2 linked regions of the Rhinolophus ferrumequinum genome follow. The protein of the gene in region 1 binds, or shares a complex with, the protein of each later gene. Links are inferred from orthologs where the notes say so. Each region holds a gene or a part of one and is shown on either strand. Other genes may lie near its edges.

Region 1 (3,741 bases):
CTGCCAAAAAGAGAGACAGACCAAAATGGTTTTTACCACTTGAAACTAAATACTAAAAATGAAAAAGGAGGCTTCCGGGGTCCTTGCTATGGCAGTCTCTCTCCTAGCTGTCACTTGTTACCTGTCTCCTGGCAGCCCTTTCAGGTGTCCTGGCCTAAATCTGCTGTTAGAACAGAAAAAAGTCCCTTGGCTGGTCATATCCTCTGTAATCTGGCAGGAAACCTAAAATTTGCCTGCTCTTGTCCTCGGTCTGTTTGCTTATCTGCTTCCTTGTAGGGAAGAGTCTGCATCACAGTGTCCGGTTTAGGGGGATTTTCACCATGATCTCACCCTGCTGCAGCTACCATCCACTGATTTCATCGCGGCAGCTCGGGTGGGAATCCACAGTGAGATATTAACAACCCCTCCTAGCACATCTCAGATTAACTTCAACTCGTTCTTTTGCCTCGGTGTGTGTGTGGTCTTTGCAGAGGTATAAGAATGCCAAAAATAGTTGGGTGGGTGTATTGATGACGTTTGGTTATCGTTCGGCGCTTGGGAGACCAGGCTGTGAACGAAACCACCTTATTTTTGAAAATATACCCCAAACCTTCCCGGCTCGCGCCCGCTGTCTAAATAACTTTCCAGCCAAAAGCTTGGAAATAAGGTGCGCGAACGGTGACAGCAGGCGGAGGGCACGAAACCTGTGAGAAAGAGGGGCGGGAACAGTTAGGGAGCCCAAAGGACAGTGTCTGAGATCGTGTCTCGGGCCTCCAGGACGCAGGAAAGTAGCCCTTCTGCCGGGAATGGGCGCAGCTAATTAAAGGAAAACAGAAAGTCGGACGCCGCACGCTCACGCCCGGCCCTACCGGAGGTCACGTGACCCCAGCGGCCGCGCGTACGCGAGCTAGAGCGTAACTCGCCCGTAAAAGGCGGGAGGCGGGGGAGCGGCTGCTGCGTGCGCGCGCGCCCCCGGGAGGCAGCGGGCGCGCGCACGCGCCGGGGCCACCGCCCCTCTCGGGCCCGCCCTCCTTCCCTCCCTCCTGGCTCGCCCGGCCCGCCCTGCCCGGCCCGCCCTGCGAGTCAGTTCGCTCGTTCCCTCCCTCCCCCGGCGCGCTCGGGCCGCCACAACGCTCCCCGCCCTCGAGCCCGTGGTGCCGGAGTCGCCCGCCGCCCGAGGAGGAGGTGGAGGGAGCCGGAGGGGCCCGCCGAAGCGGCGGCGGCGGCGGCGGCAAGATGGCGGACTTCCTGCCGTCGCGGTCCGTGCTGTCCGTGTGCTTCCCCGGCTGCGTGCTGACGAGCGGCGAGGCCGAGCAGCAGCGCAAGTCCAAGGAGATCGACAAATGCCTGTCCCGGGAAAAGACCTACGTGAAGCGGCTCGTGAAGATCCTGCTGCTGGGCGCGGGCGAGAGCGGCAAGTCCACCTTCCTGAAGCAGATGCGGATCATCCACGGGCAGGATTTCGACCAGCGCGCGCGCGAGGAGTTCCGCCCCACCATCTACAGCAACGTGATCAAAGGTGCCGGGCGAGGGTCGGAGCCGGGGGACCGAGGGTCGGGGCTGCGGCCGGGGCCGGCGGTGACCCGCGCGGGGCCGGGCACCGCCCTCCTTCGCTCAGTCCCCGGCGAAGGACCGGGCCCAGCGGGCGGGCAGGATGGGGGCGCGCCCCGGGCACTGGCCCTTCCTGCCCCTGGGGCCTTCGTCCCCCAGGGGAGGGGATACCCGGGGCGCCCCGCTTTCCACTTTGACTCCCGGGTAGGGGGCACGTCTGGTCCCCCAGCCCCCACCGCGCCACTGGCCTCGCCCCCTGCGAGAGGGAAGTGAGGCGAACCTAGTGCACCAGAGTGCAGGGTGTCCTCGCCTGTCTTCCCTCCAGACGGGGCAGGAAGACCTGAGAGCCAGCTTCAGACCCTACACCCCCACTCACCGCCCCCCGCGCTGCCTGCCCAACCTCGCCGCCCGGGGTGGGTGACCCGAGTCGCATGGAGTCGGTCTGTTCCCAAATCCCTGCTTCCTTGGCCGCCTCCTGAGCAAAGGAGTTGCACGATCACAATAAGGAAACTTTTGCCGGAGATTCTTGTCAAGGGCGAATGGTGACAGCCCTTAGGCCCTTTTGAGCAAGGATATGAAACTTGAGGGTGTCATGTTTACTGTGCTGGCAATGAGGGAAGAGGAGACCCGTGCAGTTTAGTCTGCAAAACTTAACATCAGTGGTTTTTCGCCCCTCGGTCACGGTCAGGCAGGATGTTTGCCTGTAATCACTATGCAACACGTTCCACTCTCATTTTTGCTTAATGCCTGGGGGTGGGAGGGAGGGTGTGTACCCCCACTTGCTTCTGTTATTTAAATGAAATTGTGCATTCAGGTAAAGAATCTTTGGCCTAATAGGGATGTGGAGCCTGTACAGGTAGTCAGTGAATCAGTGTCAGCTTGGATCTAAACTCGGCTTTTATTGGACAATATTTTTAAAATTAAACTTTGTTCTTAAGTGAAAAATACATAAGAATTTTATTTCTGGGCTTTCAAAGAATTAGACAAGATGGTTTTTATTTTGTCTTTTGGTGGTGATTAGCACTCACTTGTCATAGTATCAGATATCTTCTACTTTATAAAAGACATTTTGGCAAATTGAGATACACAGCCTGGTACTTCAGGTGTATCCAGATTCTTTCATCTTTGTAGCAGTTATCTAGGAGTTTGTAACAGATTTCAGGTCTTTTCAGGCAGTGCTTTTTTCGGTCATTTTTGTTTGTTTGTTCAGGAAGTACTCAAGCAACTCATTGGGCTCACTTTTGTCCTCCCAGGACTGAGTAGAGGAGAACTGTTTGGGGGGCAAGGATTGTGGGGTAATGACGGGAGAAGAGCACTAGGCTGTAAGCTCCAGACCACAGGGAGCTCCGAGCCCTAGTGCCACTGCAGTTAAGCTGTACAGAACGGTTGTATTTATCCTATCTTAATGTTTAGCACAAAACTAATTAAGGTCTCTTTCAAGGCCGCAGACTCCGCCTTGCCAGTCCTTAATTGAAGGTACCTTTGTATCCTGATGTAGCTGAACTTAAGGAATTATGTCAGTGAATTGAGTCAACATGTTAACTGATTATGAGCCAGGTAAACACCTGGTTCTTAACTGTGCCCTGGGTCCTAAGTGTGACCCACTTTGAGCATTGATTATGAGATGAAGTAAATCACTAGATACATAACTTTTTTTGAGTTGGCATGATCAGAAAATTAACAGCAAAACAAGTGTTTCAGTTATCCAAACAAATGACTTCTTGATAATCATGTGACTGTTAAGATGGACCAAAGGTAACAGTTTAGTGATAGAAATACTGGGTTTGAACCAATCTCTGAGTTGAGATTTCTGTTTTTATGTACATGTTTTTTGCATTTGGTCTTCTTCTCTTTTAGGGAAATCTAAGGCCGTCTTGTGACTTAACACTGATTTGAAACTTAGTATGGAACAAGTTTTTTGAGTTTTGAATGTGTTTCTAGAAGACTCAGTGTTGCGTTAAGCAGGGTGCTCCAGGACCAAACAGAACATAGAGCGATAATGTTTGGTTCTTGGCATTTTATAAATAAATGTCTTTTTGAGGGGCTTAAAAAATCTTGGTTGTAGCCGTTTGCTTCATAGCCTGAACATTAGGCTATGCAGCCTAATTTCTTTTTTCTTCACTAGGTCTGGTTTTCTCATGACTACCTTCTACTCCAAAGTTATTTTATAAATTAGAACATGTTAAAATTTTCAGAAAGAGCACTTGTTTG
Region 2 (3,741 bases), on another chromosome or scaffold:
AAGTCAGCCGGGGGAGACAGTTGCCACCTGGGCTTCTGGGACGCGCAGCTGAGGCTGAGGAAGCAGGGGTCTGGGCACAGTGGGGCCCGGTCTCCACGCCCCTCCCGCCACACATGGTTCCAGGTCCACCGGCAGCACTGAAGGAGCCTCCCCCAGGGCAGACTCAGCCCCCAACAGGCCAGCTGCCACTCAACGCAGCCCCCACCCAGCTGGGTGACCTCCAGAAGCAGCTTGTGCCCTCTGGACTCCCAGTGTGTCCCCTCTCTCAGGGCTGGCCCTCTGCTTTTCCCTGGAGTCCTCGGCCGCCTGGAAGTGACTGCTGAGAACGTGGTGGACCTGCTCCCCGGGGTCTTTCAGGGTCCGAGCACGCCCGGCGGCAGTGGCCGTGCCCCTTGCCACCCCTTGCCACCCCCTACTGGAACTCGGATGCACCAGACACTTCAGCCTCAGTTTATATTCTTACGTCTGACACTGGCCCCGAGCCCAGTGCAGGGCAGCCCAGGCTGAACTGGGGCTGCGGACCTTGGGGCCCGCACAGACTGGGAGGGCCTGGGGCCCAGGCAGGCCACTGCTGTCTCAGCCGGCCTGGGGCTCCGTGGGACTCAGAGGCAGCCACGAGCAGGGCCAAACTGAGTGTCAGTGCTGAGCCCAGGCTGTGTCCAGGGCCCGGCCTGTCGGGTCCCCAGCTGCTCCGTGGACCTGCTGGTGGGGCACTGTGTCGGGTGATGACTGCCTCCCTCCCGTTCGCGGTGACCTGGCAGACCCAGGCGGGCAGGTCTGGGAGTGAGCAGGTGAGAACACCTCCTTTCCCAGCAGACTTTGTCCCGTGTCAGTTTCCTTCTTGGCATCTCGCACCACTTCCTGTTCCAGGCATGGTGGCCATGCCTTCTCGGTAAGAGCCGTGTCCTGCCCAGCCCTGGTCCTCAGTCTTCTCTGTGACTGTCCCGCCCGCTTTCCCTCCCGCAGGCCCGGGTCAGTCTCGTGGTGGGGTGGGGGCAGAGCTTCCGCGTGAGCATCGAGGCCCTGGTGCCCTGAGAGTAGGTAGTCAGGGAGGGGGCCTGGCTGGGGGCTTCCTGAGCAGCAGGCAGGAGGGACCTGGAGTGAGACGGCAAGGGCCGGCCAGGCTGGGGCCAAGGCTCTCAGACGCTCCAGGCTCGTTACTCTCTGTCTCCCTCTCCATTCATAACCATTTCCTGCTGAGTGCCCCATGTTGGCCTCACCTGATTTTGCTGCAGTCCCCCTGCCCCCAGTATTTAACAGATTTAAGCCAGCTTTGCTGCACTTTGACATGAATGGAAGAGTCACTTTGCTCCTGGGGACATTTTGGGGTCTTTGGACATGACTGTGCCCCATCAGGGGAGGGCCTTCTCTGGTTCTGAGCATGAGTTTGCGGGGGCAGGCTGAGCCCACCAGCTCCCTAGAGTTCTCAGCTCTGCAGCTGTGGGGCCCCCTCCCTCCCCGGGGAAGCCCAGACGGAAGCCGTGGGCTCTGGCTGCAGCCTGTGGGCGTCCAGTCCGTGTCAGGACCCTCTGGCCATTCCTGTCTGATTTCTTGAAAGTAAGGTTGTGTCTCACATACAGCGTCGTCCCCAGTTGGGGCTGAGACCACGAGGCCTGCTCACCCAGGGAGTGGAAGGCTAGTCGGGGACACTTGTGTGTGTTTCCTAAAGCACCTCACGCACAGACACACACACACACAGGTACACACCCCACACATGGACACACATGCACACACATGCACACACATGCACACATACACGCACGCACACACAGACATACACACACACACACACACACTCTCTGTCGACTCCCACACCCCCACACACAGAGCTAGGGCTCAGGCCCCGCCCCCCTCAGCTGCCTAGGACTCCTGGTCCCTTTACAAGTCAGCCAGGAGGTGAAGTTGCTGGGCAGGGAGCCAGCAGTGGCTTGGCCTGGGCCAGGTCCTGGTCCCCTAAGGTTCCTGGGGCCTGAGCAGGGGTGACGATGGGAGGCTGTGGCACACGTGTGTTTCTGTGTTCTCGCTGGCATGGGCTCATCCCTCGTCCCCCACACCCCACTGAGAAGACCAACCAGCTTCTCATACCACTCTCCTCCACCTTGGCCCCCTCTGCCCCCTAATTCCGAAGTCCTCTGCAAGCATGCAGTGGGGTGCTGTGGACGTGGCCGAGACGCCAGGAGCCTCTGCCCTTGAGGGGTCGTTAGGGGATGAGCCGCACATAGGTCCCCTAGATGGCCCTGACCACCCCATGATGTGTGGGGTGGTCCGTGACCAGCTTCGGGTCAGCTGAGTGCAGGGCAGAGGCTGGCAGAGGAGCTGGGCACCCGCAGGGAATAGAAAAGGCTCTCGTGCCAGCTGTGGGGAGTGGGCTCAGAGAACGTGACAAGAGCTGAGGCTGGAGAGGTAGGTCAAGGACCTTGAGGCCGTTTAAGGAGCTTGGGCAGGAGGGAGCCACTTCAGTTTACACAGGAACTGATGTGAGTATGTTTGACACCTCCCTCTGGCTGAGGTCTCAGAGATGGTCTGGAGGCAGGGACCAACCAGAAGACTGCTGCAGAATCCAAGGGAGAGGTGACGGTGGCCTGGCTGAGGGAGCGGTGACGGTGGCCTGGCTGAGGGAGCGGTGACGGTGGCCTGGCTGAGGGAGCGGTGACGGTGGCCTGGCTGAAGGAGAGGTGACGGTGGCCTGGCTGAGGGAGCGGTGACGGTGGCCTGGCTGAGGGAGCGGTGACGGTGGCCTGGCTGAGGGAGCGGTGACGGTGGCCTGGCTGAGGGAGCGGTGACGGTGGCCTGGCTGAGGGAGCGGTGACGGTGGCCTGGCTGGCAGGCAGTGGTGGAGGTTGAGAGGTCAGAGTTGTGGGATGCCCAGAAGCTAAGCTGTCTAACACAACGCCCTTTGGTTTGGTTGTGTTTGTTCCCAGTATATAGAGATACTTTTTTTGTATATTAATCTTATGTCCTATAACTTTGCTAGTTCACTTACTAGTTCATTGTTTTGGGGTTTTGAGGTAAATGCCTTGGGATTTTCTGCATACACAATTACATGTCCTTTGTGAAACTTTCTAGTTTTCCTTCTTCCTTCCCTCTCTGATAGCAGGTTTTTTCTTGCCTCATCTCCCCTGGTTAGGACTCCAGCTGGAACATGCCAGCTGGAACACAGACACACGTGTGCCACGGCCGCCCATCGTCACCCCTGCCCAGGTCCCAGGAACCTGCAGGGGACCAGGACCGGCCCCTGACGCAGTGGCCCCGGCCCAGCCATTTTGAATAGAAGTGGTGAGAGCTGTTTTCCCTGTGGCTGACGCAGTGGGACAGGGTCTCCCACCACTAAGAGCGCAATTCCCTGCAGGTTGTCTGCGAGGCCTTTTGTCAGGTCAAGGGCCTTTTGTCATTCCTCGTTTGCTGAGCATTTCTGTCATAAACAGGGGTTGGGTTTTGCCAAATTATTATTATTTTTTGCATTGATTGAGAGGATTATATAAATGTTCTCCTTTATTAATGCAGTAAATTATATTGATTGATGTTCTAATGTTAAAATCAGCCTTACATTCCTGGGGTCCTTGGGATATGATTGACTTTATATGTATATATATTGCTAGATGCAATGAACTAACATTTTCTGAAGGATTTTTGTGTCTATGGTCAAGCAGGATATTGATCTGTAGTTGTCTTTTCTTGTAACATTGTTGTCCAACGTTGGTATGAGGGTAAATCTTGCCTTCGAAAATGAATAGGGAAGTG

The links. Proteins that work in one complex are often made in the same cells at the same time.
Region 2: the proteins of GNA13 (region 1) and G-protein coupled receptor 35-like are in contact, whole or in part, in a cryo-EM structure (PDB 8H8J), measured with the Homo sapiens proteins. The link is inferred for Rhinolophus ferrumequinum from reciprocal best matches to the Homo sapiens genes GNA13 and GPR35. Residues at the interface, in NP_006563.2 of Homo sapiens: Lys46, Arg47, Leu48, Val49, Lys214, Asn215, Val216, Phe218, Arg331, Gln337, Gln338, Lys340, Pro341, Leu342, Tyr343, Phe359, Arg360, Asp361, Lys363, Asp364, Ile366, Leu367, His368, Asn370, Leu371, Lys372, Gln373, Leu374, Met375, Leu376; in NP_005292.2 of Homo sapiens: Phe45, Gln51, Thr53, Thr55, Met59, Asp113, Arg114, Ala117, Val118, Pro121, Leu122, Arg123, Arg125, Arg128, Ala197, Leu198, Arg201, Pro202, Thr204, Asp205, Gly207, Gln208, Ala211, Ala215, Met218, Val219, Ala280, Lys281, Glu282.

What each region holds. Positions count from the first base shown.
Region 1 is NC_046304.1:45,092,178-45,095,918, forward strand, and holds the start of GNA13 (guanine nucleotide-binding protein subunit alpha-13), read left to right. Parts: upstream 1-982; 5' UTR 983-1,215; coding exon 1,216-1,498; intron 1,499-3,741. UniProt on the Homo sapiens protein: Guanine nucleotide-binding proteins (G proteins) are involved as modulators or transducers in various transmembrane signaling systems.
Region 2 is NC_046291.1:883,291-887,031, reverse strand, and holds the start of G-protein coupled receptor 35-like, read left to right. Parts: upstream 1-841; 5' UTR 842-892; intron 893-3,741. UniProt on the Homo sapiens protein: G-protein coupled receptor that binds to several ligands including the tryptophan metabolite kynurenic acid (KYNA), lysophosphatidic acid (LPA) or 5-hydroxyindoleacetic acid (5-HIAA) with high affinity, leading to rapid and transient activation of numerous intracellular signaling pathways.